Linked DNA regions of Rattus norvegicus. The protein of the gene in region 1 interacts with the protein of each later gene in a pairwise test. Links are inferred from orthologs where the notes say so. Each region holds a gene or a part of one and is shown in the gene's direction. Other genes may lie near its edges. The genes, in order: Nelfb and Nelfe.

Region 1 (16,270 bases):
TTTCTCTCTATACCCTTTCAATTGGCCCTCACATGGAGCCATCCTGCAGCGCTTGGCCCTGCCCCTTCTTTACCTAGGGTGGGGTCCCAGACTTCCCTGAAGAGTGGACTCAAGCCCCCAGTAAAGGGAAGAAGGGTTGGGACAGTTTAGAACCTGTCTTGACCAAGGCTGACCTGGATGACAGTCTCAGCAGGTATTAAGGATGGAGGCCCTGTGGGAGAGCCCCTCCTGATCTGGACAATGTTCCTCTCCCAGGGAGCTCCCAGCAACAGCGGGGAGGGGCATGATCCGCCAGTGAGGTCACAGAGCCCAGCAGTGCGCTCAGGCAAAGGAACCCAGGCCCCAGAATGAACTTTGACCAGAAGGCTGTGAAATTCCTGGCAAACTTTTACATCAATGGAGGCAAACACTGGACTCGGGGACCCCTGAGTCAGAAATCTCTTCACCTCACCCAGTAATTTCCGAGGGTAGTGGATGGGGGGTTGGGGTGGGGGGACAACCCAGTGGGAAGACCATTGGGATAGATGAACAGTGGCTGTTGGCTTCCTTGCAGGTCCAATGCTACTGTGCTATGGTGGGACCAGGAGCTGGAGGCTGCCTGGGATGAGATGTGGCTCCCAAAGATGAAGAGAGCTTCAAGCGGCTTCAAATTAAAATCAGGCACTCCTAATGAGTCCACACCTATTGGCACAGGGACTCTGAGGGAGCTGTGTGAGTGAGAGTCTTCACTCCCTCCCCAGGCCGGCCAGGGGAGGCTGGGAAAATAGCCTTCTAAGGAGAAATGGGTCTAGAGTTTGCTTTTTTGTATCAGGGCTAGAGAGACGTCCTCCAATCCTGACAGACCTGGATGTCCCTGGCCCAACCCAGTATGAGGCGCCCAATGTGTCTCTGCGAGAATCTTCTCCACACCCCCAATACACCATCGGGCGCAAGTACCCGGGTCGAGGTGCATGTCCCTACAAATCCTGCCTATACCGGGGGAATGGGAACCTCATGCCCTGAAAACCTCCCCACCGACCATCCGCCCCACTGCAGAGGGTGGTGGCCGCAGGGCATGGCAGACCATGTGGCTCCAGAGTGAAAGCCCCTTCACACAGAAGACTGACTTCAACCGAGAGACAAAGGTAGGGACACTGTGTGGGCCAGGTAGAGGAAGAGTGGGAGAAGGGGACACCTTGAGGAGGTAGGGGTGTTGCAGGTGAGGAGGAGGAGGTGAGGAAAGGAGGGGTCAGACAGCCTGTGGGAGGGGCTATGTGCCTGGGTTTGGCGTAGAGGGAGATCTGAGAACCAGCATCTCGGAAGGTACAAAAGCATGGGTCAGGTCTAGGAGGATAGGATGAAGCTGGGCAAGGAGGTTGTAGCGTCCTGACTCTTCATAGTGGCCATCGCCTGCCGAGTACACGCCGTTGAGTCAGCCTGCCTTCCCGGCCTTCAGCTTTGGAAGCCGCCGTCGCTCTTCGGCCAAAATACCTGAGAGGCATTTCCGCCCGGGGATGCTCCGAGCCCGAGGTCCTTGTAACTATACCCCACTCTTGGCTACCTCAAAGCCCTCTGGCGAGAAGCGACCCGGCCCCAACACCTATAACATCTTTCCTGGGTGCCGTCTGCAGAGCACACGCTCACCCGCCTTCTCCATGAGCCGCTCTCCTGCGTTTGCATCCTGGGTCAGCTCCAGTAAGGAAGACCTAGAAAAAGAGGCTTGGGGGTGGTTTGGGTCTTGGGCCGCAGGGGAAGGGAAGGATGCTGGGGTGAGGACTAGGGTCAGCTCACTCTCTCTGCAGCCCGAACCCCAGGTCCAGCTGCCTACTACGTGGAAGACTGCTACAATTCACGCTTCCCTTCTCCACCTGGAGTAGTTATCCAAGGAGTGCGGAGACCCAAGCGCCATGACACAGGCCCCTTCTGCACACTGTAGGCCCATCGGATATAGATTGCAAAACTGACCTCTCTTGAGGCTTTCCTAGGCTTCCTTTGGAACTCTTTGTAGCCTGGCCTTCTGACCCTCTAGACACCCCTCACCCACTCTTCTAGCTTAGGCTGTGCAATAAGAAGAGTCTTCCTAGAGTCTCCCTAACCCCCGCTATACCGAGATACAAATGATTCTTCTGAACTGTGGTCTCTGGTGTGCCTGGTTGCCCATCCTTTGCCTAATGGGCTGTCTTGAATATGTGACTTCCTGCTTCCCTGGTATTTCTGGCTTTCTTTGTTCCTGCATGGTGTTCTTTTCTTCAGGATTGAAATAGTAGCCTGGGAACTAACCCTAAGCTTTCTGACCTAGGATAGAATAGGAAAAGAACCCTGTGGCAATGTGGGACAACCTGATCCAGTCACCCGAGGTCCAGCATCTACCTGAGGATCAGGGCTGCTTGCTTGGCTGTGGAACTATTGGGATGGGATGGGAAGCCAGAACCTATGGAGCTGTCTTCACACAGCCTTGCCCAGCCCATGAGGTAGGACCCAGGGAGTCAGCTCACCAGACATGGGTCTACTGGAGCCTCGACCTGAAGATTCAACTGTTTTTGCTAACTTGTGTTCTGAGAACCCAAGCCCAAAGCCTTCAGCCCTAGCCCCTGCCCAGTGATGGCTCCCTCAGCACTGTTGACCTGCCTTCCTACTTAGAAGGAGTACCCTTCAGGAGCCTCACCTTGCAGCTAGTCATAGTAGTTTCTCCAGGGCCCTCTCCATATTTTCTTCCTCACCCAGACATAGATCTCACTAAAGAACATTTTAAAAATGTATTTTATGGTGTTTTGCTTGCTAGTATGGTCCATGTATCATGTGTGCTTAGTGCCCAGAAGACATTAGATTCCTTGGAACTGATGTTACAGAGCTGCTATGTAGGTGCTGGAACTGAACCCAGGTCCCCTGTAATAGCAGAAAACGTTCTTAACTGCTGAGCCATTTTCCTAGCTCTCAGAGCTGATTTCTTTCTTTCCGTCCTCCCCAGGAGGCCCTGGCTGTCTTGGAAGGTACTATGTAAACCAGGCTAGTCCTGAACTCACAGAGATTCGCCTGTGCTAGGATTAAAGCATTATTGCCAAGTGTGACAGCCCAAGCCTAAAGGCTTTAATCCCAGCGGTCAGAGGCAGGAAGGAGATCTGAGTTTGAGGCAACCTGGTCTAAAGTGTCTGTCTCAAGGGGGAAAAAAGCGTACCACTAAGCCCAAACCAGAACTCACTTAAAAAGTGACTTCATTTATGCATATAAATGCATGTATGTCTGTATAACACATGTATGCCTGGCGTTTGTGGAGGTGAGAAGAGGGCATCAGATCTCTTGGAACTGGCGTAGGTTCTGGTTCCCAGAGAGCAGATGAAGTGAAAGGCTGAAAATTTCCTAGCACTGGCGGCGGCCGGGGCTAGAGTTGCTTGATAATCCCGACCCCACCATTGTACCCAAGTCGCTGCCCGGAACCTGCGCGCGGCGGCGGCGTTTTCCCGGGGCCTATTGGCTGCTGGACCTAGACAGTCAAGGGCGGAAGTGGGAGGTGTGGGTCGGTGCAAGCAGCTCTGCTGACGCGATCTGGCCACACTGGAGGCGGCGGGCGAACGGGGCTTGGGTGGTCCTCGTGGCACCGTGGAAAGGACGTCTGGGGCTCCGTCAGCGTCCGCTACGGCTCCAGCAGAGCGCGGCGGGGATGGGGTACACAGCCGAGCGGCCGTCGGAGCCTCGGCCATGTTTGCGGGGCTCCAGGACCTGGGCGTGGCCAATGGCGAGGACCTGAAAGAGACCCTAACCAACTGCACCGAGCCTCTCAAGGCCATTGAGCAATTTCAGGTAGGCAGAAGGGACCGGGGCAGCTAGGGAAGCGGGACACAATTCGGTGCGCTCCCGATGCTTAGATGGAAGAACTAGAGGTTCTGAGCTAGGGACCCGCTGAGTAACTCTCGGCGTTTTTCCTTTCCCGCGGTTACCATGGCGGACCCGTTTACTCAGGGCATCCGAGGTGCCCGTGCTGATTTGGCTGCGGCCAAGCAAAATGCGTACGCGTTTACCCTTTGCTTCTCCAGACAGAGAATGGCGTGTTGCTGCCTTCCCTGCAGTCGGCCCTGCCCTTCTTGGATCTACACGGGACACCGCGGCTGGAGTTCCATCAGTCAGTGTTTGATGAGCTACGCGACAAACTGCTGGAACGAGTGTCAGCTATTGCCTCTGAGGGAAAGGCAGAGGAGAGGTGGGTCTCTACCAGGGAGCTGCTTATGTTTGTGAGTAGCATTTACGGTCTCCGTGGCTGCACAGCCCTACTTGTAGCTAGAACCTTGAATGTGTTTGAGAGACTCCCCTTCTCTGTATATTCTGCATGTGGAGAACACAACTGAGCAAGTCTTCGCAGGTACAAGAAGCTGGAAGACCTTCTGGAAAAGAGCTTTTCTCTGGTCAAGATGCCATCCCTACAGCCAGTGGTGATGTGTGTTATGAAACACTTGCCCAAGGTGAGAGCTGTGGAGCCAGCCCTTGTAGATCATGAGATTAGTACAGGCGGTTGGTTAGCTCTGGGAAAGTTTTATGAACTTGCTCCCTGGCAAACTCTGGGCACTTTCTCTGTATCATACACTTCCCCTGGTTGAGCCCAGTGGAAGCACATGTATCCCTTAAAGTGCTCTGTGGGTCTTTCCTGGGAAGAGGGTGGTGGAGATTCTGGATGTCTGAACTCACCTGCTAAGCATTGGAAGTCCTTCACAGGTTCTCCTCGATGTGGCTGGGCTCTAGAGGGTCTGTGGGCAACTGAGGCCTTGGTGGAGGAGTCTTGGCGACACAGGCAGCACTTGCAGGGAGCTGTGGTGTTTACTTTGTAGGTTCCTGAGAAGAAGCTGAAGCTGGTGATGGCTGACAAGGAGTTGTACCGGGCATGTGCTGTGGAAGTGAAGAGGCAGATCTGGCAAGATAACCAGGCTCTCTTTGGTGATGAAGTCTCACCACTGTTGAAGCAGTATATCCTAGAGAAGGAGAGTGCACTGTTCAGCACGGAGCTCTCTGTCCTGCACAACTTCTTCAGCCCTTCCCCCAAGACCAGGCGTCAGGGAGAGGTGAGAGGAAGGCAGGGTGTGCTCAGTGAGGCAAATGCCTGGCAGGAGTGTGGCCAGCCCTTCATTCCTTGCCTCTTCCCTGTGTGTGTTACTTAGTCTGTTTCTGTAAGCGTGAACTTATGTATGTAGCCTGGAAAAAGTTGGTTGGCAGAGGTTGAGGCAGGAGGATTGCTGTGAGTTTGAGGCCAGCCTGATCTCATCACAAAAAAAAAAAAAAAAAAGAAAAAAAAAGAAAAGAAAAACACTGAATTTAACTTTTTATCTATTATTCTTACCTCTTACTGATGTTGGCATAATTCTAAATTCAAATTTACCATAGTGGTTTCCTTATTTATTTTTGAGACAGGATCTTTCAATGTAACCCTGACTGGTCTGAAATTCCCTATATAGATTAGGCTGGCTTTGAACTCACAGAGATCCACCTGCCTCTGCTCCCAAGTGCTGGAATTAAAGGCGTGGGCACCATGTCTGGGTCATAAGTGACATCTTTAAAATGTTTTAAATTAATTTTAATTATTTCTTGATGTTTCCCTGTTTGTATACAACATGTGTGAGTATGTGCCCACAGAGGTCAGAGGTCAGATGCCCATGGGGCTGGACTCTGTGAACTGCCTGGTGGGGTGCTAGGGATTGGACCCAGCTCTTCTGGAAGAGCAGTGTGCTCACTCACCACTGGGCCATCTCTCTAGCCCATAAGCATCATCTTTTATGTTGAGAATTTATTTATTAAGTTACTTATCATGTATCTCTGTGAATGACCATGTTGTGTAGAGACCAAAAGACAACTTGCAGGAGTCTTTGTTTAGAGGCAGGGTTTCTCTGTGTAGCCCTGGGCGTCCTGTAACTCACTGTGTAGACCAGGCTGGCCTTGAACTCTGCCTGTCTCTACTTCTTGAGTACTGGGATTAAAAGCCTACACACCACCTCTGGCCATCTTGCCAGTTCTTAAGTCAAGATTTTGTAACTAGCTTACTTTACATTAACACTGTTTAGTAGAAAGATAAATTTATATAAATCATTCAAAAATTTCTACTGTCGGGGGGTTGGGGATTTAACTCAATGGTAGAGCACTTGCCTAGCTCTGGGTTCGGTCCCCAGCTCCGAAAAGAAGGAAAAAGAAAAAAAAATTTCTAGTGTCTACTTTGACAAAAATAGATGAGCTTTTTTTTTTTTTTTTTAAATGCAGAATGCTTCTTGTATTTGTGTGTCATCCTTGCACAGGGGCCATGCTAACCTTCTCTGTGTTGTTCCAGTTTTAGTCTCTGTGCTGGGAGGGAGGAGGCAGAGGCAGGGGAAGTCACTGGGACTTGAGGGCCTGCAGATTTAGTGAGAGACCCTTTGTCACGTCAATAAAGTAGAGAGTGGGAGGGCAGAAGTGCACTGGGCTTGGGTACACAGTTTCGAGTTGTCTAGCTCCCAGTGGTACTCTGGCTTCTTCCTTGCTTCACCAAGCTCTTAGGTCCCCAGGCCTTCTTGACTTTCTGCTTCTGACTTTGACGTGTTAGGCCGCATAGGTCTCGGTCAGCCCAGTGTCTGCCCCGTGTTGACAGGGCCGTTTCTTACAGCCTCCAGGTTTCCTTTCCTTTCCTTTCCTTTCATTCCTGTCTGGTTGGAGTTTATCACTCCTCATGTGAGCTTCCACAGCTGACACAATGGACACTGTTTGGACTCCTGGGCCAAGTGGCTAGATTTAGAATTACAGTTCTAAGTGCCAAAGACCTTTCTTGATATTCTCCGTTGTCAGTTTCTGCAGATGAGTCTGATTTGTGGCACTTTGATGCTGGCCTGTTTCTCCTCTTGGAGACTTTGCAGACACTCTCAGTGCTCTGTGATTCTCCAACCCTGGGGACAGAGCTGGTGGATCACCCTACAGTCTTGGCTGTAGGTTAGCTGTCTTGCCTATGAGCAGGTGGTCCCTCTGTGTCAGGGTTAGAGTGTATCTGTGGTCTGTGCCCAGTGAATAGGAGAACTTTGGACCATCCACATGGCTCAGTGACAGGAACAGTGAAGATTTTGTTCCTGAGATGAAGATCCAGGTCAGTCCGAGAGTTCTTGGCAGGGGTCTTGGAGAGTGAAACAACAGACCAGCCACTGGCTCCTGCACTCTTCTACCTCCTCCCGCTGACCTCACTTCTTGTTGAGGCTAACCTGATGCCTTGGGCTTCCTGTGCTATCTTAACTCTGGACTTACCCTAAATGTCTCTTTGTACCATAGGCCTGAGACTCAGTTGACTGTGGTCAGTTAGTAGCTGAGTGAAAGTTCTTTATGTTGGTGAAGACTTTTTTTCTTCCCAAGACAGGGTTTGTCTGTGTAGTCTGAGCTGTCCTGGAACTCCCTCTAGACCAGGCTGGTCTTGACCTCAGAGATCCTGCCTGTCTCTGCCTCCTGAGTATTGGGATTAAAGGCACACCTATTCCCTAAACCCCCAGCTATTGGAGCTGGACTGTTTGGTTTGCTGTAGTTGGGTACATGTAAGGTGGGTGACACCTGCCAAAGGAACAGGCAGGTGCCCTTCATGGCCCTTGCCTAGAGTACAAGGTAAGGAAGAGCTGGGTGTCAGTGTTTATGGTTTAGTACTAGAAGACAGGAAAGCAGAGAGCCCAGTGTGGCCTGATAGGCGTTCACCTAGGCCCAAAGGCAGCAGCTGTGTAGCCAAGCATTCTGTGTTGGGCCCGTTCTTCAGATTGGTTCTCACCACTGCTTCTAGGATGAGTCACCTACCCCTTAACCTGACAGGTGAGTGCTTGAAGCACAGTAGATTGCAGACCCAGGGCCTTTTAGGATGTCCCTGGGATGAATGTGGATCTTTCACTTGGAGTAGTCAAAGCTGGCCCCCTAGAATATAGTGCCAGCATTTCATGACAGAGAAAGAAATATCTCATGGCCGAAACAGAGCGGCCAGCTCTGTATCCAGGCCTGGGGAACTTGTCCGTGTCGTGTTGTGCTTGGGTGGTGCTGGGCTTTTATGTTTTGTTTTAGTCTTTTGAGACACAGTCTTTTTATGTAACCTTGGCTGATCTGGAACTTGATCTGGAACGAGTTCCGGTCTGACTTAGAACTCAGATCCACCTACCTCTGTTTCCCAAGTGCTAGATATGTCCACCTTTCCTTGTCCCGGGGTGGGATTTTGGACTCCGTCTGTCTGTCTGCTCCTAGGTGGTGCAGAAGCTGACACAGATGGTAGGGAAGAACGTGAAGCTGTATGACATGGTGCTGCAGTTCTTGCGCACACTGTTCCTTCGGACCAGGAATGTGCACTACTGCACGCTACGAGCCGAGCTGCTGATGTCTTTGCATGACCTGGATGTCAGTGATATCTGCACCGTGGATCCCTGCCATAAGGTAGTGGTGCCTGCCTCCCTCTGCACTTCTCCTGCGCCCTTCTCCTCTGCACTCACCAACCTAGGAGTGGCTGCTGACCACGTGCGCCTAAGCTTGCTTCTCAGCTTGCCAGCTTTGTGCTCCTCAGCTCGACTGGGAGTGGATGAACAGGTCCTGCAGACACATGGTTGTCCTCCTGGTGCCTCCCTTGCAGTCCCTCTAGCCTTTGCTCTATAGCTGCAAGTGGCAGCAGGCCCTGAGACCATCTTCCTGTTGGGCTCCTGGTGTCTACTGCCGTAGAACCCTCAGGGCTTCTCGCTGTCCAGTAGCAAAGTAATAAAGGAATGAGGTTTTCTGCACTCCCTCTATCCCCCACCAAGAACACAGGACACCTAAGACCACCTCATGGGTACATGGTGTGTTGCTTATCAAAGCCAGGCACTGAGCAGCACTACATATCTGCCATAACCTGTCCATCTGTCTGCCAGCCCTCCTTAGCTCCCTTCTAGGAAGAATAAATATGCCTCTCTCATGTGCTGTCCTGATCCTTAGTACTTTTGAGACCTAGGGAGACCTCCTGCTAGTCCTCATGAAAGCTCACTGGTGTCTCAGTCCTGTGCCATGTTGTCTCTGGGAATGTCTGGGAATGAGAACTGTTTGGTTTCCTTTGTTAATACCTGCCGATCGAGTGCACGGCAAATGGTCGTGTTGGCTGTCTAGGCCTGGAGACTGCTGCTGCCCCCCTTCGGCTACCCCTTTTCCTGATGGCCATTTTCTCTGTTCTCTCCAGGGACCCCTTTCGTTCTCTGCCCTGCGTTTGGCCTAGGCTGGGGTCTTGGCCCTGGGCTTGTGTTTATCTTTGCTTCTCTCCTGTATTTGGCCTTGTGGTTCCCACAGCCATTTGGGTAGTGGCAGTGGAGTGAGGAGGAATGAGTCTGTGTGTATCTAGACTGTCTATTTCCATCCCCTAGTTCACCTGGTGCCTGGATGCCTGCATCCGTGAGCGGTTTGTGGACAGCAAACGAGCCCGAGAGCTGCAGGGATTCCTTGATGGTGTGAAGAAGGGCCAGGAACAAGTTTTGGGGTGAGAGCTTTTTAAGGACCCTACCCTTTGATCCCTAAACAGACATCAGTGGGGCTTGCTGTTCACCTTTGGCAGTTGGAGCCTGTTCTGGTATATTTGGGATGCTCATCCTTGGTACTAGGCCCATTGTTAACAGGGTGCTAACACATCACTTGGAATGAGCCTCAGTAGCAAGAGAATCCATGCCTGTGCCTGGAGTTTGAGGCCTGCTATTCCCGAGGCAGCACAGGGAGCTGAGTCAGGGAGGGGCTGCTGTCTGTGGCAAGTTAGGTGTGAGCTTAGGCTGGGTTAGGTACTCCAGCCTGATTCCCAGCATCCTTTGCCTGGCGTGAAGATGTTGTGGCTGCCACGGCCTTGCCACATTTCTTTATTATATTCTCCACTCACTGGCTAAGCCTACAGTTGAAGCCAGGGGTTTGTTCTGTTTTGAGACAGGATCTTCTTGATTTGTGGCCAAGCTGACCTGAGAATCACTGTGTAGACCAGGCTGGCCTCAAACTCATCATGAGTTTCTCTCTCCTGAATGCTAGGATTAAAGTCATGTATCATCGTTGCTTGCCCCGACTCAGGGTCTTTCAATCAGGGTCTGGATTTAGTGTGTTGAGGGTTAATTTTTTTTCTTTAACTTTGTAGATTAGAAGATCTTTGAGTAAGTTAGGGGGTAAGTTATGAATTCAGTACACAGAGAGGCTGGCTATCTGGGGTCAGTCCCCAAGCCCTTGCATCCCAGTCTGTGGCTGTCCCTTTAGTGCGTCTGGCACTGTGGCTATTAGAAACAGAGTAACCAGGTTCCTCAATTTATATCAAGGTCTGATTCCTTCCAGGGACTTGTCTATGATCCTGTGTGACCCTTTTGCCATCAACACTCTGTCCCTGAGCACCATCAGGCACTTGCAGGAGCTGGTTAGCCAGGAGACCCTGCCCAGGGTGAGCATAGTCATGGCTGCTGACTGCGCAAAGCACAGACTGTCACTTGTAAAGTTGGGTTTTTCTCCATAGGTGGGTATCGGCACATGGGTGCCTTATGATCACACACTCCTAGGGTCTTGGCTCTGGAAAGCAGAGAGCCTGCTTTGCCCAGTGAGACCAGAGGATGGCATGGTCCCTGGGAGCCCTTGCCGATGCCTCTGTGTTCTTTCAGGACAGTCCCGACCTCCTCCTCCTCCTTAGGCTGCTGGCACTGGGCCAAGGTGCATGGGACTTAATAGACAGCCAGGTCTTCAAGGAGCCCAAGATGGTATGAGGCCCGGGTCCTCCTTTCTGCTAAATTATGGGAGTGCAAGGGTGGGGGCCTTCTGGTAGCACAACTCTACTCCTAGAGTCATTTTTAGGGGAGCTCCCATCAAGGGTGTTTGGGTGTCTTGGTGGACTAGCTGCAGGGTAGAAGCTATTCTAGGGGCTGGGATCCAGATGGGGCTTTGCAGGTGCAGCCATGATGGGGGCATTCAAGAATATAGCAGTAGACATGAATCTCAGGAAACAGGAAGGAGGGATTTGGGGGCCCAATGTCCAAGAAATGTGAGTTTGAGGCAAGTGTATTGGGTGGATAAGGGCTAGATGTACATGGCTGAGTGGGTTAGGGTGTCTGCTGAGAGCAGCCAGGCGCACTGGGACCTTAATGGACTCAGACATTCCTTCTGCCAGGAGGCAGAGCTCATCACCAAGTTCCTGCCGATGCTCATGTCCTTCGTGGTGGATGACTACACTTTCAACGTAGATCAGAAGCTTCCAGCTGAGGAGAAAGCCCCAGTCACATATCCCAACACGCTTCCTGAAAGCTTCACCAAGTAGGACTCCAGGGCAGGGTTTGGGGGAGGCACTCGAGTGGAGCTGACAGGGAAGTTGCTGCTGGCAGGCTGACTCTTGGAAGACCATGGCTTCTCTCATGCAGGTTTCTGCAGGAGCAGCGCATGGCTTGTGAGGTGGGACTGTACTATGTTCTACACATCACCAAGCAGAGAAACAAGAATGCTCTCCTGCGCCTGCTGCCTGGTCTTGGTGAGTTCTGATGGCTGTGCTCCCCTGCCACCTGTCTGCTGAGCTCTGCCAACTATCTTCTGCCTTTATCTCCAACTCCCATAGCTTGATTTCTGTGTTTGTAATTTACCTCAGTAGACACTCGGTGTGCATGCTTGTAAAGCAGGCTGGGCTCTGTTTCAGAGATGCCAGTGGGTCTTGTGATTTCCTACAGCAGGGATTCAGACTTCTACAGCCAGGTGTGGTGTGCATGTCCTTCACTCCAGCACTCAGGAGGCAGAGGGAGGCAGAGCTCTGAGAGTTCAAGATAAGCTTGGTCTATATAGTCAGTTCTCCCACCTTTATGTGGGTTCCAGGAAATCAACTCGAGTCCCCAGACTTGGATAGCCTTTCTCACTGAGCCATCTCACCAGCCCTCTTGTTTAGGTTGTCCAGAAAGACCCAGGCTACGTAGACAGACCCTGTTTTTTTTTTTTTTTTTTTGGTTCTTTTTTTCGGAGCTGGGGACTGAACCCAGGGCCTTGTGCTTCCTAGGCAAGCGCTCTACCACTGAGCTAAATCCCCAACCCCCAGAGCCCCCAGACCCTGTTTTAAAACAAAACATAAAACACCTTTTGTCTTAGTTAGGGTTTTACTGCTGTGAACAGACACCATGACCAAGGAAGTCTTATAAAGGACAACATTTAATTGTTGTCAGGTTCAGAGGTTCAGTCCATTATCATCAAGGCAGGAACATGGCAGCATCCAGGTACAGGAGGAGCTGAAAGTTCTACATCTTCATCTGAAGGCTGCTAGCGGAACACTGACTTCCTGGCAGCTAGGACTAGTGTATTAAAGCCCACACCCACAGTGACACACTTATTTCAACAAGGCTACACCTCCTAAAAGTGCCAGCCACTCCCTGAGCCAAACCTATACAAACCATCACATTCCACTCCCTGGCCCCCATAGGTGTGTTCAAACATATGAGTCTCTGGGGCCACACCTAAACATAGCATAATGCAAAACACAAATAGTCCAACTTCCAGAGCCCCAGTCTAGAGCAGTCTCAACAGTGTTCAAGTCTCTTCTGAGATCCATCCAAGCCCTTAACTGTAGTCCCCCAAGCAAGACAGGAAGCCAGCTGGGCAAACTCCAAACTCTGCATCTCCATGTCTGATGTCAAAGCAACCTTCAGATCTCCACCTCCTTTTGCATCTCTGTTGACTGCAACAAACTTCTTTTCTGGGCTCATTCCACTCCCTGTTAGCAGCTTTCCTCAGCAGATAGCTCACGGCTCTGGCATCTCAAACATCTTGGGGTCTCCAAGGCAGCTTCAGTGTTAGAGCTTCTTGTTTCAATGTCTGGGATTCACACATGATCTTCTGGGCTCCTCCAAAGGGCTGGCATCACTTCTCCAGCTCTGCCCTCTGTCGGACTCTAAGCTCAGGCTGATCCACTCCACTGCTGCTGCTGTTCTTGGTGATCATCCCATGGCACTGGCATCTCCATACACGGAGGTCTTCCACTGCACCTAGGCTTCACCAGTACCCTCTCCTAGGCTCTCTTCATGGTGCCAAGCCTCACTCCTTTGCATGACACCTTCAGTCCTGGGTCATCAACTGCAACTGAGGCTGTACCAATGACCTTCCGTGGCCTCTCACAGTGCCAAGCCTCAGCTGCTCTTCATGACCCCTTCATGCTTCAAACCAGTACCACCTGGGTGACTCTTACACATTACCAAATACAGCTGCCGCATGAGGTGCAACCTTTGCTATCTCTGGAACACAGGATCTGTGTGCTCTCAGAAAATCTTCCCAGATTTTATCTCAGTGATACTGGTCTCTTCTTAATTACTGCTAATTTTTTTCCCATCTTTTTTTTAAAATATTTATTTATTTATTTATTTTATTTATATGAGTATACTGCAGCTGTCTTCAGACACACCAGAGGAGGGCATCGGATCCCATTACAGACGGTTGTGAGCCACCATGTGGTTGCTGGGAATTGAACTCAGGACCTCTGGAAGAGCAGTCAGTGCTCTTAACCGCTGAGCCATCTCTCCAGCCTCTATTTTTTCCATCTTTATTAACTTGAGTATTTCTTATTTACATTTCAATTGTTATTCCCCTTCCCGGTTTCCGGGCCAACATCCCCCTAACCCCTCCCCCTATTGCTAATTTTTTAACTCCAGCTAACCAGCATCAATTGTCCCAGTAGTTTCCTTTTCCTTTTGACTATAAAGTCAGAGACACATGGCTGAAGCTTCCAAAATCTGCTGCTTGCTGGGGCTAGACCATGACCCCCTTGTTATATTACATCATCACCAGCTTTCTGTTTTCTAACTCCTTCACTGACAGTGTGGCTGTCCTGGAACTTGCTCTGTAGACTTACCTTGAACTCAGAGATCTACAAGGCTTTGCCTCCTGGGATTAAAGGTGTGTGGTACCTGCACCTGAATTTAGCTGAGTGAGATCTTACCACTCCCTTAATTCAATTTAATATCCTTGAACACAGGATTCAGCTCCATTTCACTTCCTGGTGCTCCTTTAATACTCAAACCATATATTTTGTATTCTTCCTTTCTAAGCTTGCTATGCTTATTCAAAACGCTCTTCATGAGACTTAACCATAGATCAAAGTCTATGATGGACATTTCTGAGACTTCCTTTGTCAATGCAATTAATCTGATTCTCTTCACCTTAGCCCCAGGTACACTCTTCAGACAAGGGCAAAAAACCAGCCACATACTGTTCTTCACCAAATACTACAAAAACAGTCTCTAGACCACATAGTGAAGTTCTTTTCCACTGAAACCTCTTGGGCTTGGTCTGCATAGTTCAAATCCCTCACAGCAACAAAATCTTTCCATATTTCTACTAGGATGGCTCATTAGGCCCCACTTAAACATCCCATGGTTTTTCAAATCCAAAGTCCCTTCAATCCACATTCTTCCAAACAGAAACATGGTCAGGCTTATCACAACAATACCCCACTCCTGGTACCAACTTCTGTCCTAGTTAGGAATTTAGTGCTGCGAACAGACACCAGGACCAAACCTATACAAACCATCACACCTTTATTTTGTTTTAATTGAAAAAAAAAAAGTAAAACTCCTTGGGTCTTCTTATCCAAGGAGACCTTCCCCCAGGTGCCTGGGATGGCACAAGCTTAAAACCAGGAAGTTTTGAGTGGGCTCTTTAAAGTAAAAACAGGGCCATAGTGAGGTTCTATGATGGTACTAGATTGTTAGGGAATGGCTTTGTGTACTGTGTATTCAGATGCTGATTTCTCAGTTCTGAGACCTGGTTTCAGTTTGGATTTTGATATTGTCATTAATTATGAAGCATTTCCTGACTCAATGTTCTGTAAAACATTTTTCTCAGTCATCTTGATTCCTCAGTAAAGAGCTGATCAGTCTATAGCTATCAGGAGCGAACAATTCAGGAATTCCAGTCCCAGTGAGGGAGTCCCATCGGAGGGGGTCAGGATGGGAGGGCTGTGGAGCAGGAGCAGTGAGGGTGAGGTAAGGTGGCAGATGATGGCACAAGAGGTTGGAAAATAGGTTGGGAAATAGGCCAGGTCAGCATAGTTGGGTTAGAATAGATTAGCATCTGCTCCGCTTAGTGCCTGAACCTTTTAATTCACCACATCTCTGTGTCGTGGTTGGAGAGCAAGGGTGAACCTAGAAAAGCCCTGTATGTTTACCTGTATTTTTACCACCTAAGGCTGCAGGCTTTATTGGGAAGAACTGCCTCAGGGGCACCCTGTTGCTCTGATGACGGGCTGACTCTCCTTTGTTTAGAGGATGGTGCATAAAGATGGAGGTTCTCCTCTTCCTCTGCTTCCTCCTCTTCCTCTGCTTCCTCCTCTTTCTTCTCTTCCTCTTCCTCCTCTTCCTCTGCTTCCTCCTCTTCCTCTGCTTCCTCCTCTTTCTTCTCTTCCTCTTCCTCCTCTTCCTCTGCTTCCTCCTCTTCCTCTGCTTCCTCCTCTTTCTTCTCTTCCTCTTCCTCCTCTTCCTCTGCTTCCTCCTCTTCCTCTGCTTCCTCCTCTTCCTCCTCTTCCTCTTCCTCCTCTTCCTCTTCCTCTGCTTCCTCCTCTTCCTCTGCTTCCTCCTCTTCCTCTGCTTCCTCCGCTTCCTCCTCTTCCTCTTCCTCCTCTTCCTCCTCTTCCTCCGCTTCCTCCTCTTCCTCTGCTTCCTCCTCTTCCTCTGCTTCCTCCTCTTCCTCTGCTTCCTCCTCTTCCTCTGCTTCCTCCTCTTCCTCTGCTTCCTCCTCTTCCTCTTCCTCCTCTTCCTCTTCCTCTGCTTCCTCCTCTTCCTCTGCTTCCTCCTCTTCCTCTGCTTCCTCCGCTTCCTCCGCTTCCTCCTCTTCCTCTTCCTCCTCTTCCTCTTCCTCTGCTTCCTCCTCTTCCTCTGCTTCCTCCTCTTCCTCTGCTTCCTCCTCTTTCTTCTCTTCCTCTTCCTCTGCTTCCTCCTCTTCCTCTTCCTCCTCTTCCTCTTCCTCTGCTTCCTCCTCTTCCTCTGCTTCCTCTTCTTCCTCTGCTTCCTCCTCTTCCTCTGCTTCCTCCTCTTCCTCTTCCTCCTCTTCCTCTTCCTCTGCTTCCTCCTCTTCCTCTGCTTCCTCCTCTTCCTCTGCTTCTTCCTCTTCCTCCTCTTCCTCTGCTTCTTCCTCTTCCTCTTCCTCCTCTTCCTCTGCTTCCTCCTCTTCCTCTGCTTCCTCCTCTTCCTCTACTTCCTCCTCCTTTTCTTCCTCCTTCCTGTTCCTCCTCTTCTTCCTCCTTCTCTTCTTCCTCCTCCTCCTCCTCCTCTTCTTCTTCTCTTCTTTTCATTCTTTCTTCTTTTTTGGTTTTTCAAGATACAGAGTGTCATTATATAGCCCA
Region 2 (16,026 bases), on another chromosome or scaffold:
GAAGTATCTTTTCTGTCTGTTGGGCAGTCCTACCAGGTCTCAGTTTAGTAGTCACTTAACCATCTGAAAGTGTTGTTTGTACTCAGCCGTGAGTGATTAGTGCCTTTGATTATTCTTGGCTGTCAGTCTAGCCGTTACGTTCCCTGGATTCTGAGTTTCTTTCTTTTTTTTTTTTTTTTTTTTTTTCCCCTTTTTTTTCCGGAGCTGAGGACCGAACCCAGGGCCTTGCGCTTGCTAGGCAAGTGCTCTACCACTGAGCTAAATCCCCAACCCCATGGATTCTGAGTTTCTTATAGGTGGGAACTATGTGTTTTGATTCTGTGTGGCCTCATTAAATATGCAGAAGATGGGAGATGGGTGGATAAAACCCCCAAGGATGGCATTCAGGGCTTATTTGCAGCTTATGTGATATGGCTTAGTTGTTTTTGGTTTTCAGTTCCCAAAATGGGAGACTGGAAAGCCTTTGAACACCATGGTTTGGTTAGATTAAGTACTGTGGGCTTTGTGATTACGTGAAGGCAGGACGAACCACTCCAGGCCCAGGATGCCACAGGCACAGGCCCTGGGATCACGTACCTAAGAGACCAGTGCCTTGGATGACAGACCTCTCTTCTCACCGACCTCTCTCCTTTCCAGAAAAAGGCGTTGCTGGCTCTGAAGAAGCAAAGCAGCAGTGGTACAGCGAGCCAGGGCGGTGTCAAGCGCTGTAAGTGATAGAGACAGAGTCCAGGGGGCAGCAGCACAGGGCCTCCCTCCACAGCCAGCCTAATGCCTCTGTCCCCTCCCCGTCCCTCTCTCCTCAGCACTGTCAGAGCAGCCTGTGGTGGATACTGCCACAGCAACAGAACAGGCCAAACAGCTGGTGAAGTCAGGAGCTATCAGTGCCATCAAGGCTGAAACTAAGAACTCAGGCTTCAAACGTTCTCGGACCCTGGAAGGGAAGTTAAAGGTGAGCGCACAGGAAGATTGTCTGGGGCGTCCTGGCGTCAGCCGGAAGGGGGTCAGTGGGAGAAATCATGCATGTTCACATAGGAGCAAGCTGTGCTTGTCCTGAGGTTTAGGGTGTTTCTCTACTTCTAGTCCTTCTTGCTCCTCAAGACAGGGTCTGACTGTACTCATGAGCTCAACTGATGCTCTGGCCTAGGCCTTGAAAAAAAGGTAGTGTTTGCCACCACAGCCCACTGGAGCCCTAGGTTTCTGACTATTACAGAGAAACCTGGGTGATGCCTTCGTCTCTTTTCCATATTTGTGCTTCTTGGATTGAAGGGAGGTTTGAGTAGACCAAGCCTCTTCCTCAAAAATCAGCACATCAGTAGACATGGTGGCGCACGCCTTTAATACCAGCGCCTGGACCAGACAGTCCGAGAGCTCTAACTTCAAGGACAGCCTGGTCTACAGAGCAAGTTCAGGATAGCCAGGGCTACACAGAAAAGCTTTAACTCAAAAAACAAAAAACAAAAAAAAAACAAAAAACAAAAACAAAAAAACATATCAATCAAAAAGACCAACACATCACCATAAGAAGTCTAACAGAGAAGCCGAGGAGAGGGGGAAGAGTTCTCCTGGTCCACAATAACATGGGTGTCTACCACTTTCCAGGACCCAGAGAAGGGGCCTGTCCCCACCTTCCAGCCGTTCCAGAGGAGCATGTCTGCTGACGAGGACCTACAGGAGGTAATGGTTTCTGTGGGGCTGGGATCGGGGGCAAGAGACCCACATATTGTGCACCCACTCCGGTGCCTGGGAGTTATTTTAATTGTTCTCTGTCCTTTCTTTTCCCCCAGCCATCCAGACGGCCCCAAAGGAAATCTCTGTATGAAAGGTTAGAGAGCATCGTTTGGTATGGGGCCAAAGGCCAGCGTGACTGGAAAGTTCAGGGCTAGAGTGGAAGGGGCCAGCTGCAGAGACATGGTTGACTACGCAAGGTCTGGAGGAAGGTGGAATCCCCTTTGATCCTCACCGTAATCTTCCTCTCCCCAGCTTTGTGTCTTCTAGTGATCGGCTTCGGGAACTGGGACAAGATGGAGAAGAAGCAGAGGCCCCTGGGGCTGGTGAAGGCCCACCTCGAGGTTTTGACTGGAGCTATGAAGAACACAGCGGTGCCCGATCCTCAGCCTCCCCTCCCCGAAGCCGCAGCCGGGACAGAAGTCATGATCGGAGCCGAGATAGGGACCGGGACAAAGAACGAGACAGAGACCGGGATCGAGACAGAGAACGGGACAAAGACAAAGACAGAGACCGGGACCGGGACAGAGACAAAGAGCGGGACAGAGACAGGGACCGGGAGCGAGACCGAGAGGGCCCTTTCCGTAGTGAGTGGTCTTGGCCAGGGTTTAGGTGGGTCACGCTAAGTAGAAGGTGATGTGGACTCGGTAATGACTATGGTTCCTAACCCACAGGGTCAGACTCATTCCCCGAACGGAGGGCCCCTCGAAAGGGGAACACTCTGTATGTGTATGGAGAGGACATGACGCCCACCCTCCTCCGAGGGGCCTTCTCTCCCTTTGGAAATATCATCGACCTCTCCATGGACCCACCCAGAAAGTAAGGATTGAGCATCCTGGGAAGGAGCCGCTTGGTGTGCAGCATGGGGGTCACTGGGTCCGTGGAGCCCCATGGAGCCCCCTGACTCTGCCTTCTCTCACCCAGCTGTGCCTTCGTCACCTACGAGAAGATGGAGTCAGCAGATCAGGCTGTTGCTGAGGTTGGGACTTCTCAGACCGCTCCTCCCACCCTCCTGTCATCCTCCTGCTTCTTCCTAACAATGCCTGCTCCTAGAGGAAACTTTCCTCCTGACCAAGAAAACCTGCATCCTCACATGCCTGTTTGGTCTCCTCCCAGGGTGGCAGCAACTGGCTCCATGTAATACCCATCCTCTGTCCCCTCCCCTCTTGTCCCACAGCTCAATGGGACCCAGGTGGAATCTGTGCAGCTCAAAGTCAACATAGCCCGAAAACAGCCCATGCTGGACGCTGCTACTGGCAAATCTGTCTGGGGCTCCCTTGGTAAGGATGAGGCCCTCCCTCCCCCTCCTGCAGCACAGCTTTTCCTGTTCCCTCTACAGCTTTGAGTGGCCTAAAGTGCCAAAGGTCAGGGTCTTCACATAGGCAGAGGATGGAGAATTGCCAGGGTATCTGTCAGGTGAGGGAAGGAGAACAGCGTTAAAAGGTTCCCTTTTCAGTTCAGGACAGCCAGGGTTGCACAGAGAAATCTTGTTTTGAAAAGCCATTTATTTAAGGGGCTGGGGATTTATCTCAGTGGTAGAGCGCTTGCCTAGCAACCGCAAGGCCCTGGGTTCGGTCCCCAGCTCCGAAAAGAAAAAAAAAACAAAAAACAAAAACAAAAACCAGGGTCCCCCAGTAGTGAGCGTCACAGACAGGAAAGTAGGAGCCAGTGTGTCCTCTGAGCTGGAGCACTGTCTGGACCTGGTACTGTGGGTCTGGACCTCAGGTGGAAGCCAGGCATGGAGGTGTAGATCAGTTCTGTTGCATCTGGACCCATCAGAGATGGGATTTTGGAGAAATAAAAGTGACCCGTGGTGGGTTTAGAGAACCAAAAACGCTAGGAAGCCGGGCTCTGCTGTCTGCCGAGCATACCTCCAGCTTGCTAGGCCCAGTGGAGCCTGCGGCAAGGGAACCGTGAGAAGGGTCCAAGCCAAGAGCAGCCCCAGAAGCTTTGGGCTCTGAGAAGGATGTAAGACCAAAGAGGAGGCTGCCTCTCAGCCCCACAGGGAGTCCTGGGGCAGGAGAGGAGGACGAGGAAAGAAACGCTGAGCACTCTGGTTCACAGAGGTCCCCATGGGTGGGATTTCTCAGTGTGGGGAGCCCATTCTGCCTGAAACAGATTTTTCTGGAGAAGAAGTAAGCACAGTAGACACCAGGAGGAGCCAGCGTTGCCCAGCGGGCAAGGCCACAGGCGTTCTGATCTTTTCATTTGCACAGATCTCAGGGTTTAACTCTCTGGGTTTTCTAAGCCAGGGTGAGACTGTGGCCACCAGAGGGCAGAGTAAGCCCTGGTGGACCAGGGCCAGGGCTCTGGACCCCAGGTCTAATGGAAGCGGCCACTGCTTCAGACCTTAACTGTCACTTTCCTCCCTCCTTAGCTGTCCAGAACAGCCCCAAGGGTTGCCACCGGGACAAGAGGACCCAGATTGTGTACAGTGACGATCTATAGGAAACCTTGTGGATGGCTTCTAGGACATGAAGCTGGATTCCTTGTGCCTCATATGCCCCCAAGCTGGTCTCAGTAAAATCCTGGGGTAGAAGCTTTTCACCTCTGTCAGCCTCTAGTCTTTGAGCACTTGGGATTGGAGTTGAGCCTTCAAAAGCAGCTGTCAGTGTTGTTAACCAGTGCACGCCCCACTCCCTTACCCCAAAAAGATGTGGAACACACTTTGTATTTGTATTGTAGCTGCTTTAATCTGCCCTCACCCTCCCAGCAGGAAGCTCCTTATAAGAAACCCAAGTCCTCGTCTTTGAGCTTCTCCTTTAGCCAGGGCAGCACCTGGAAGAGATTGATGTGGAAGTCCCGGGCATAGGAGGGCACCAACTGTTGCCGCCTCGGGTCTTTGCAGACATCCACTACTCCCCAGCTGATCACACCAACCTGTGTAGATAAGGAGGGCCATGGTCACTTGACACTTCATAACCCCAGAAAGCTTCTGAGCTGGCCTAAAGAAGTGCACTGGGAGCCAGCTCCTCTCTCTTCTATGGTGCACATAACCTGGCTTTCACTGGCCAGTTAAGAACAGATGAGGTGGGCCCGTTCTGCCACCTTTATCAGCCGTGCACATCAAGCTTCCTTTTTTGTGACACCTGAGCATCTCCCCAATGGACTGGAAAAGGGACCACTCACTTGAATGAAGCGGCTTCTCTTGTGAACAATGAGAGGGCCCCCGGAGTCTCCTGTAGAAGAGAGAGGCTGTAGGGGAGACTGCTGGGCTGTGTGGGCTTGCCGCATAGCCAGAGAGCCACCTCACCTTTGCATGTGTTGGGGTCAGCATAGGGATCTACCCCTCCGGTGCACAGGAACCTGGGGGTGACCACCTCAGAGGCAACTTTGACCTTCTCATAGCCTTGGGCCTTTGTAGCATCTCTCTCACAACTGGCTTTCTGTAGGCGACAAAGGTGTGGTAAACAAAACTAGCTCAGGAAAGAATGAGGCCTATGTGACCCTCTCCAGAAACTTCTTATCACCTTTTCCCCATTCTTGATGTACACCTCCTTCCGGGTCAGCTTCTTCCCTTCCTCGGATACAAACAGAGCTTTGACGTCCTTCATAGGGAGCAACTCTTCCTCTGGAAAAGTAAAAGGGCCATGCCAGCTGTCCCCTTGCTTCTCATCTAGCAGGTGTCCCTTGGGCCCTTAGGTGCTAGGCCCTGAACTGAGCAGTTTACACTTGCAGCTCCCTCCTCTGCCCCTTTGTCTCGGGAGTCTCCTCCTTGTCTTAGCCCAGACTATGCCTTACTGTGCTGTTTGCAGGTGGCTGTCTGAGGAAGCCGCAAGGCTCGGGTGGTTCCCTCTGTGCAGGGGAGACAGATGGGCCTATGGAGACAGGTAGAGTGAGGGACCACAGACAGCCTGTTGTGTCCTATGCTCCAGCCCACCTTCCCTAGTTCCTCTGGGACCCAGCCCCACTCACCTGAGAGTCTGGCTGTACTTCAGCTTGGTCTTGAGCTTGATGAGGGCAACATCATAGTCATAGAACTCAGAGATTCCTTCTGCCTTTTTCCCATTGATGTCGTAATTAGGGTGGAACAGGACCTCTTCAATCTCCAGGTCCCGCCTTTTCCCCTCTGAGTGAAGGAGAATGGGAACCATGTTTATGTGAGCAGCCTCCTTCCTCTGGCCCCATCTTATCTCTTGGATTCTGTTTCCCCATCCTTGATTGGTCAGGGTTTAAGGGAGGGGCATGCTGAGAATGGGTGAGCTACAGGTCATAACGTCAGTGCTTCCTGAGGATGGGCCTGGAGGTCAGAGTCTTACCCACGTTGACCTTGATGGAGTGTTTCTGATCTTCCACTGTGAAGCAATGCGCTGCTGTCAGCACGAAGTACTCGGACACCACGGCCCCCATACAGTTCTCATGTCCTTTCAGAGGACGCTAGGAAGCCAGTGCAGACTAACCTTGGTGTGTGCGCTGGAGACAAGCTTCGTACAAGCTAGGTGAACACTAGCCCCAGCTTTCTTCTCTTCATTACATCTACACAGCTTTACTGTGTAGCCCAGACTAACCTGAGACTCAAGGCAGTGCTGTGCTCACTTCCAAATGCCAGGTTACCAGCACGGATGTGTCCCATGCCCAGCTTCCTTTCCCACTTTCAGTCAGTTTTGAATTGATTGACCTTGAACTCACTGTAGCCCAAGCAGGCCATGAATCTACCCTGCCTCAGCTTCCTGAACAGCCAGGATTACAGCTAGTGTGGACATCTCACCTCCCCAAGTCCCCAGTGCTGGGAAGCTTACAGTGACTGAGATCTTGGCTTGCCATGGTTGCTTGTAATAATCACCGCCTTTCTGATGCTCCCACACCATGCCACAGAGACCCAGAGATTTGGTTTCATCTGTCAGGGAAAGAACACTGAAGGCTTGTCATTGCTGCCACTTTTGTTGGATCCCTTCATGTCTGTAGACAGCAGAGGCACAGAAGAGGGAAGGAAAGCAGGAGAGAGGGCTCTTGTGTGTTAAATGAGGAACCCCCATGGCGTAGTGAGAAAGATTGACCAGGCAATCTGAGGACTGAGCATTTTTAGCTACAGTCTGGGTGCTGACTTGCTGTGCTTGGCCTCAGTTTCCACATCTGTAAAGTAGGCTATCAGTTCTGTGATTGTGAGAAGTCAGGAAGTGAATGTCAGAAGTAAGAATAGGCATGGGGTGAGCCTTCCAGGTTTTAAGGGCTATAGGGTGAGAGGAGTTGGCGACCTCAGCCTGCAGCTTCCCCTTCCACACCCTTGAGCCTGAGCTTTCCTACCGATCATTTTGTAGAAGACGTTCTCCAGATCCTCCATGTCCTTGACCTTGAACACATGCTGCTCATTGTTCTTTTTGGAAGCCAAGGCATTGATGTTCACAGGGTCCACCAGAGGCCCGACCCCAAACACATACACATCTGAAGGAGAGAAGGAGAGGGTAAGGGTCCAGGCCCTGAGGAGTGAGGGTGCTGGATCCCAAGTGAGCCACTCACCCAAATAATCCTCCCGGGGATTTTTGCGATCCCTGCCAATATCCAGCAAGTCTCGGATGTCCTCAATGACAGTGACAGGGTCTCCACCCATGTTGTGCAAGCCTGTGGAAACAGGAGGATTGTGAAAGTGGGTCAAGGAAGATACACCGGCTGGAGACAAACACTTGTGCAGGACTTGAGAGGACGGTGGGGTAGGAGAAAGGCCTTACCATCAGTCATGATGATGATGACGTGGCGGGTTCGATTCCAGCCTTCAGGCGGAGCATCCCCTGGCCAGCTCATCATGCTGTATACAGCCTGGAGAGCCTTCTTGGTGTTGGTCCCTGACTTCAGCTTGTGGTCTATAGAGAAAGGGAGGTTATTGACCTTATCTTCCAAGCCACTATTACCCCTCAGAAGTCTATGACAACTAAGATCCCACATTCTTTAACATTTACTATGTAGACCATGCTGGCCTTGAACTCTCAGAGATCCACCTGCCTTTTGCATGTTGGGATTAAAGGCTTGTTCCACCAAGTCCAGGCAATATTTAACTTTTAGGTGATCACCTGCTTGCCCTTGGCTCTCCCAGCACTCTCTATTGCTCAAGGACACTTTCGTTCAACCTCTAACTAGTAGTAGTCTGTCTACTTTCTCCAGAAGAACCCTGAGCCTCTTGACCACCACAGCCCCAAGGTGCACCTCCCGGCTTTCCCTTCCCTGACCTCTGACCTTCATAACTGATTTGGTTGAGCTTCTCTGTGACCCAGTCGGCATCACTACTCCTCTCCTCAGACACTCTGACCAAGACTTTGGGGACTGTGGCATATGTCACTAGACCGTATCTTGGCTTCACCCCATAACTCGCCACCTGTGCATGAGCAAGAGGCCATTGTGTTAAAACTATGGTGGGTAGTCAGCACTCCTACTGAGACAGGGAGAAGGCTGGAGGACAACAGGACTCGGACCCAGAGAATCTGGAGACACAGGAAACCAGTCTTGTAAGAGCAGTGGAGTCCACACAAGCTCCCCTTATTCCAAAGGGATGGAAGCTGTGATCTACCTTCTCAATCAAGTTGGCGAGACACCGCTTGGCCCCTGTGAAGTTGCTGGCCCCGATGCTGTCGGATCCATCCAGCACCATGTAGATATTCATGGAGCCCGAGGGGTCCAGGATAATCTTCCTCTTCTGCTGTTCCCCTAGGTACCAGCAGAGTCTCAGTCTCTGGCATGTGCAGTACCTGGCAGGCCACCCACCCTTCCCTGAGCTTCCTGCTCAACCTCCCTCCTTGTATTCAAACCTGGGCTGTGCCCATCCTCCGCATCTGCTCCTTCGATGGTCTCTGTCAGGGAGGATAGAAATGCTTCGGCCACCTCTTGAGGGCTGTCGTACATGAAGGAATCTAGGGATGATCAGAGTAGATCAGATGTCTGGAGTACTGAGGACGTACTGACAGGGTGATGGGATTTCAGGACCAGAGACTTCTAGTGTGGAGCCAACAGGGCAAGAGCCAACCCAGGAAGCAGGTCAAGGGTCACCTTGGCAGGAAGGCTCTGTCCCACTCCACGAGCCACCTTCCTGGCACCTTCGCTGCTGGGAGCCACGTAGGACAAGTCCCCGACTACAGTGGTAAGTGACAGTGTCTTCAAGACGGTACTGGCTTCCCACCTTCCTTGTCCCAATAGGAATACCCGGGTTGGGACAGTATCCCGCTGCAGAGACATGAAGACAATTTGAGTGCTCGTGCATTCCCACGGTGAAGCCCTCCAGCAGGGAGTAAAATCAGGGGTGACCTGGTTCTCACCTCCATCATCACAGATTGCTGTTTGCCCATCCCACCGGCCATTCTCTTGGCAGGTGCGATTAGCAGAGCCCCGGAGAGTGTAGCCATCATAGCATTGAAAAGAAATCTGATCACTCAGGTTGTAGTAGGGGGACCGGGGCCAGAACTCCCCATTTTCAAAGTCCTGTGGTCGTGGGCAGCGTATTGCTTTAGGGGAGACAGGTAAAAGTCACCAAGAGCTGTTTCTAGGTCCTTCCTGCTCTTAGAAATCCTGTCACTGAGAAACAGTACCTGCCCAGTCCCCTCAACCCTGCTGTCCCCTCCTCTTGTGTTGTGGGATTATTTTGTTTTGTTCTGAGACACGGGCTCATGTAACCCAGGCTGGCTTCAAACTGGCTATGGAGCTGAAGATGACTGAATTTGTCCCCCTCCTGGCCCCATGTCCTGAGCGTTAGGATTGCGGGCGCCACCCCTGCTCCTGCTTCGCACAGCATTGCTTTATGCACGGCAGGCGAGCACTCTCCCAGCTGATCTACATCTCCAGACTCCCTTGCCCTGTTTCCCAGTATTGTTTTCACTGCCTGAGGAAAGCCTTCGTACACGCACCCCCAACCCCCGAGGTGTTTCCACGCTCAGCCGGCCCACAGGTCAGACTGCCAGGCACTGAACAGCCTCCATCAGCTCTGACCAGCCACCCACCGCCACACTCCCAAACCCCCAACCTCTGCATTCTGCCTTCTTGACAATCTTTTGGTCCCGGGTCTGGAGGACACTCCAGGAGCCTGTGGATTTGCAGGTTCGAGTCTGCACAGGGTATGGGTAGAAGCCAGAGGGACACAGGTACTCCAGGGCCTGACCGTCTTGGAGAAGTTGGAAGGAGCCGCCTTTGATCTCTACTCCCTCCAGAGAGCAAGAGACCTGGGGCCGGGCCTCAAGCACTGGAGTTGCGCTCACACCTGAGGAGAAAGGCTGGTGAAGCCTGGCCCCAGAAGACCAAAGACAGCTGATGAGGACAAAAAGAGGATGGAGTGTCCTTTGCTTACCTCCGGAGGAGAGGCCTAAGACCAAGAGGACTAAGCAGAGCTGGGGACCCTCCATTGTCATGGAAAGCCCGTGGCCAAAAGCCCTTTCCAGTTCACTCTGGGTGGCTACTTGACTTGCTGTCCAGACTGAAACTCCAGTGCTGGATCTGGCTACACCCCTTTCCCACCGGCCCCTAACCTTTTATGCAATCTGCTCTGGCACCTGCAGCCTGGCCAACCTACCCTGCACAGACGCTGCTTCCCGGAACATTCATGAAGGAGGGCCCCTGCTGAGCTGCCAACTGAGGAAACAGAAACTATGCGAGCGCCCCACCCTTTACTGACCAAGGGCCAGAACTTCCCTTTCAGAGCTCCCTCTTAGCCCCCAGACCCTAGTAACAAGCCCAGACCACCCCCACCGCCACCCCCCACTTAGAGACCAGTTTTCCCCGGGCTGTGTGATGGGGCAGAGTCCAGCCACTGTTTGTGCAGCAGGGTCTCTGACCTTCCTGGAACCTTCCTGGCCTCCCCACCCCCAAGACATAAGACAGACCGGATGTGGAAATCATTGATTTTTATTAATTTCATAACTGGGAAATTCTGTGTGAAAGCAAAAGGAGCACGGGTCATCCACACTAGAGAGACACTTGCTTCTCGGGAGGGCACAGTGGTTCTGGCACAACCCTGGGGATTCCTAGCTTTTGTCTCTGCGTTCCAGGATTTATGTACCTGGGAGCAAGAACACTCAGAGGCAGAAGACAGGAGGGACAGACCAGCAAAGGAGTCGGTGACCGTGTTAAAGGGGCAAAAAGTCGAGGACACCATCCAGGTGCTGCCTCAACCAGGGCTGCAGCCGGAAGAGACTGATGTGGAAGTCCCTAGGCACAACGCCATGCGGAGGCTTCCTGCGCAAGTTTTTGTTGGAGGAACCGTGACAAGGGTCAAAAAGACCCCAACTCACCAGGCCCACCTGGAGGGAAGAGACAACATGAGGAGATAAAGGCAGCCCCACTCCAAGCCTCCACCTCTCTGGTTCCCCTCAAAGGCCTCCCACCTGCTGCCAGCAAGAAAGCACTTGTATCCTGGCAGTGAGTCCCCTCTCCAGATCCTGCTTCTCACCTGGAAAAACCTGTACCTCCGCTCAAGGAAAACGGCTCCCCCGGATTCTCCTGCAGAGAAAGAAAGGGCGGCATTGTCCAGGACAGCACACTAGTTAGTATTCAGAGTGAGTGCTGACCACGGGGACACCACAGCCTTCTTTCTCCCTGGAAGTCCGGGACCAGACTAACCTTTGCAAGGACTGTCATCTCCCTCCATCCCGCTACATAGGAACTGGTCTGTCACCACCTCACTGACGTTTGTCAAGCCGGGGAAGCTGCCCTTGTTTTGGGAGACAGCCTCGATACAGCTTGTCCTCTGCAGCGTGGGGCACAGGAGAGAAGAATGGGGACGTGCCAGGAGACATTAGGCAGACCAGCGAGGTCCGACTCCAAACAGGGCCGGACACTCTAGGAGCTGCCCCCCCCCCCAGAGTATCCCAGCATCCCTCACTGAGCTCTCACCTCAGGTCCTGTCCTGAGGTTGATGTTCATTCTGTTCCCGTTCAGAGCTACGAAATGCGCAGGAACCTTCTGCTGTGACAGAAGTTCTGTCTCTGCCGTCGGGGAGAAGGGGGATGTCGATACAGGTCTCTTTACCCAGAGCTGATGTGTCCAGCTCGAGGACTGCAGCCCCCCCCACCCCTGCTGGCACCCCGCAAGCAAGCTCTGGCGCAACCCACCAAGGACCTCAAGCCTCCAGCACTCACCATGGTCTTTACAGGTACTACCTGGGGATCTCCGCAGAGCCATGTTGGCCCCCACTGTGCAAGGAAGGCAGATGGGCCTGGGAGAAAGGCGAGCGAGCGTCAGACAGGCCCATCCTCCCTGTGCCCTCTGGTGCTTTCCAGAGCACTGCCCTCTCTAGGGTACCCTCCCACCTAGGTCCACGCACCTGGCGTGGCTGGACATTTTCACTCTCTGAGACAGCTTCAGCAGGGCAATGTCATCAGCGTAGAACTCCGAGATGCCCTGGCTCTGCTTTGCGTGGACATTAAACCCAGGGGCAACTAACACCTCCTCCACATGGAATTCTTTGCCGTGATGAGAGGTGGGATCCCCTGAGAACAGCAGTGGGTTAGACCGGACCAAAGGCTGAGGAGAGACAGTGGTGACTCTGGCCTTGCGGGTGAGGGGTCGGTCCCCTGCAGCCCCTGACTTACCCACGATGACCCTCCACAGGTGGCGGTCCTCCATCTGAGCGTCATGGAAGCAGTGAGCCGCAGTCAGCACCCACTGGTCAGAGATAAGCGACCCCTGGCAAGTCTCCTTACTCTTGGGCTGCAGGGAAGAGACAGCAGTCCGGGTTTGCCGTGCCTGGCTGCTTTTAAACCTCTGTGACCCGAACCCTGCCCCTCCTTCCTGATACCTTAAAGGTGACTTGCCAAGGTGTCCTCTCCTGGTCAGAGGCATTGACGGACATGTTCCCCACCCCACAGATGGTGTCTGTGAGCTTAGAGACATCTATGGGCGAAGACCAGATGGGAGGGGACGGGGGTGAGGGCCACCGATCCAGGCTTCGTGGTGAGCCCCCCCCCCACCCGTCTGAGTGCCCACTGTGCTGTCCCCCGCAGGGGACACGAAGCTCACTCACCCAGAATGTGCTCAAAGACCTGCTGCACAGCTTTTGCGTCCTGCAAGATGAAGGCGTGCCTCTCGCCGTCCTTCTTGGACCCCAGCTCGTTCAGTTCCTTCCAGTCCACATCCAGCTTACCCACCCCAATCGCATAGATGTCTGGCAGGCAGGAGGGAAATCACCAGAGCCTGAGACTCAAGGGGCCACCCAAGACATGAGGCAGGTGTTTGAACTCTCAAAGCCGACAAAGGCCTGAGTTAGATGGGCTCCATCTCCTTCACACACACACACACACACACACACACATACACACACACACACACACACACACACACACACACACACACACACACACACGTTCACTTCCTCTCCTACTGCCACCCAGCCCCCCACAGCCTCCTAGATTCCCTCCTCAGGCCTCAGCTCCAGCTGCACCTCTGGCTGGGGCGCTCTCCTCCAGATGCCCACACAGGTCTTCCTCAGCAATGTCTTCTGAACCTACAATGCCCAGTACCCTCCCACGCCACCCCCTCTTGGCTTCACATCATGTCACCACTTGAATGCTGAAGGGCTACCTTGTTTCTATCCTGTGTATAGCACCGTGTGTTCCCAAAGGAATGTTTCCAAGTTCAATTCTATTGTGGATGTGATCTGAATCAGAAGTAGGGCTCACTCTCTGTAGACTAGGCTGGCCTCGAACTCACAGAGACCTGCCTGCCTCTGCCTCCCAAGTGCTGGGGTTAAAGGTGTGCACCACCAGGGTCCTTCACGTTGTGTTACTGGCACTCAGGAGATGGAGTCAGTAAGATCAGCCTAAGCTACCTAGTGAGTTGGAGGTCAGCCTGGGCCCATCCCAAAAATAACAGAAAAGAAGGTTGGGATGCTCAGTGGTCTGGAGCACTTGCTACTCTTCCAGAAGACCAGAGTTCAGTCTCCGGCACCCATTGCTTGTATGTCCAGCTCTGGGGAGAGGTGACATCCTCTTCCACCCTCCAAAGGTACTCACACAGACACACACATACACATAGATCAAAAGTAAGTGTCTAGAACAAAAGTAAACAGAGGCCTGGGGTTATAGCTCAGTGGCAGAGTACTTACCTGGCAGACAAAACAAAAAAAAAAATAAATAAAACAAAACAAAGCAAAAAAAAAAAACCTACATTCAGTCCCCAACACTGCACTAAATACATAGGAAATTTGAACCCAGATGTAGCTAGCTGGACGCTGTAGAAACCGAACAGAAATTGGGGAGACCACAGAGGGGAAGATTGAGGTTTTGTACCTACAAGCCAAGGACACCTGCGGCCACCAGGCCTCTACGAACAAGACCTTGTCTCAAAAATAAACCAAGAAAAAACTTAAGTTGTTTCCTGGTCATTGGTCAGCATGGTTTTCGGTCACCCTAACCCTGAGGAATTATTTGTTCCTTCAGCAGCTTTGCCTGCCAACACTTCGCCTAGCTGCCCTACAGCTGAAGGGATACCAGAGGGACAGTCCCTACCAGGAACCCAGGCCAGTTCTTCCTGCAGTTTTCCTGAAATGTGAGGTGCTGTTGACATGGTGACGGTGGCAATGGTGACGGCGGCGGCAGACAGTACTGAGCAGATCTCTGCAACAGCTCACATTTCCTTAGCTTCCTCCCCTACCCACCTGTGAGGCAGGCCCACGGCTGACTGTTTCTCACAGAGGAAGAAGCGGTCCACAGCCCCAGCCCTCTGGAGATGGAGCCAGCGTAGGGACAGACCATGGACAGTTTGGTACCCGGCTCTTCGAGGTGATACAATCGCGCAGAACCACAGGGAAACCCTCAGGGCTCAGGGCCACAGCTAGGTCCTATTGAACCCTGTCACAGAGGGTCCCATTCCTATTCCCTACTGATAGGGCTTGGGCAGGGCAGAGCCTCACCCAGGTAGTCGTTTCTGTTCCGACTGATGCCCAGGATCTCTCTGATGTTGTCGACTGCCGGCTTGGGAGAGCCACCCATGTTGGACTTTCCTAGAACAGAGAAGGAAAATAATGATCCGTCTGGGTTGACTTCAGAATCCCGCACACCCCTGGAAGCATGCAGAACACTCGGTCATTTCAAAACGCACTGCTTCAGGCTGGAGGGGTGACTCGGTGGGTAAGAGCACCTGTTGCTCTTCCAGAGGACCTGGGTTCAGTTCCCAGCACTTACATGGTGGCTCCCAACTGTCTAGAACTCCATTCCCAAGACATCCAAGGCCCTGTCCTGACCTCCAAGGTCACTAGACTCACGTGTAATACACACACACACACACACACACACACACACACACACACACATGCAGGCAGAACAAAACGAACACACGAGAGAGAACAAAATGTTTCTGTACAGCTAAGGAAGCAGTCAGCAGAGTGCACACACAGTGTGCTCACAGAGTGGAGAAAGCCCTTATCGGACAGACAACAGACAAGATGCTCACATGCCGGGTTTACGGTGAATTAGAGAAATTAAATACTGAAGAAATAAATCTTCCAGTCAGTAAGTTAACTGGATAGACAGTTTTCAGAAAGAAACACAAACAGCCGATAACTATTTGTAAACATGTTCTCTATCCCTACTCATCCGGGAAATGCAAATTAAAACTACTCCAAGATGGCACCCACCCCAGTCAGAATGTCCATCATCAATAAATCTGACAACAGATGATGGGGAGGACACGGACAGAGAGGACCCTATTCACTGTTGGGGGCTGTGATTTAATAGAGCCATTGTGGAAACCATCACTCGGCAAATTAGAAATACAAAGACCACATGACTCATCTAATTCATTCCCGGGCATATACCAAGACGTCTGCACACCCTACCATAGAGGTGTGTGCACCCAGTACCCAGTGGTTATTGCTGCTTTATTCTCTAGAGCTAAGAACTGGAATCAACATTCTTGTCCATCAGGAGATGAGTGGATAATGAAAATCTGGAGTGTGTGCATAGGTGTGTGCCTCTGTGTGTGTGTGCCTCTGTGTGTGTGTGCCTCTGTGTGTGTGTGTGTGTGCCTGTGTGTGTGTGCCTGTGTGTGTGCCTGTGTGTGTGTGCCTGTGTGTGTGCCTGTGTGTGTGTGTGTGCTTTCACGTCTGTGGTGTGTGTGCCTGTGTGTGTGCTTGAACATCTGTGGTGTGTGTGTGTGTAATTTCAGAGTATACACACACACACACACACACACACACACACACACACACGCTAGTGACCTTCCCAACATCTATAGGGTTTCCAGGTCTAGAAGGCAGCAATGGGGGAATTGGCAGCTGTGGTGGCAGAAGTTGTAGTTGCTGGAGTAAAAGTAGCTCACTTGGGGTTGGGGATTTAGCTCAGTGGTAGAGCGCTTGCCTAGCAAGCACAAGGCCCTGGGTTCAGTCCCCAGCTC

What was found.
Region 2: the proteins of Nelfb (region 1) and Nelfe interact in binary tests that used the Homo sapiens proteins (3 or more experiments, as listed by UniProt). The link is inferred for Rattus norvegicus from reciprocal best matches to the Homo sapiens genes NELFB and NELFE.

The regions. Positions count from the first base shown.
Region 1 is NC_086021.1:28,412,751-28,429,020, reverse strand, and holds the start of Nelfb (negative elongation factor B), read left to right. Parts: upstream 1-3,456; 5' UTR 3,457-3,522; coding exon 3,523-3,777; intron 3,778-4,010; coding exon 4,011-4,174; intron 4,175-4,333; coding exon 4,334-4,433; intron 4,434-4,796; coding exon 4,797-5,027; intron 5,028-6,203; exon of another isoform or gene 6,204-6,308; intron 6,309-8,184; coding exon 8,185-8,370; intron 8,371-9,320; coding exon 9,321-9,433; intron 9,434-10,257; coding exon 10,258-10,360; intron 10,361-10,574; coding exon 10,575-10,670; intron 10,671-11,077; coding exon 11,078-11,220; intron 11,221-11,324; coding exon 11,325-11,431; intron 11,432-16,270. Other genes in the region: protein STPG3, read left to right, coding at 348-454, 554-711, 812-946, 1,036-1,124, 1,380-1,856. UniProt on the Homo sapiens protein: Essential component of the NELF complex, a complex that negatively regulates the elongation of transcription by RNA polymerase II.
Region 2 is NC_086038.1:3,969,505-3,985,530, reverse strand, and holds the end of Nelfe (negative elongation factor E), read left to right. Parts: intron 1-636; coding exon 637-706; intron 707-803; coding exon 804-949; intron 950-1,599; coding exon 1,600-1,674; intron 1,675-1,784; coding exon 1,785-1,822; intron 1,823-1,980; coding exon 1,981-2,312; intron 2,313-2,399; coding exon 2,400-2,544; intron 2,545-2,649; coding exon 2,650-2,704; intron 2,705-2,902; coding exon 2,903-3,005; intron 3,006-4,102; coding exon 4,103-4,173; 3' UTR 4,174-4,270; downstream 4,271-16,026. Other genes in the region: Cfb (complement factor B precursor), read right to left, coding at 4,450-4,605, 4,855-4,904, 4,979-5,111, 5,196-5,296, 5,467-5,543, 5,641-5,794, 5,985-6,102, 6,465-6,562 and 10 more; complement C2, read right to left, coding at 10,764-10,937, 11,087-11,136, 11,257-11,383, 11,530-11,621, 11,775-11,851, 11,960-12,125, 12,228-12,345, 12,434-12,528 and 2 more. UniProt on the Homo sapiens protein: Essential component of the NELF complex, a complex that negatively regulates the elongation of transcription by RNA polymerase II.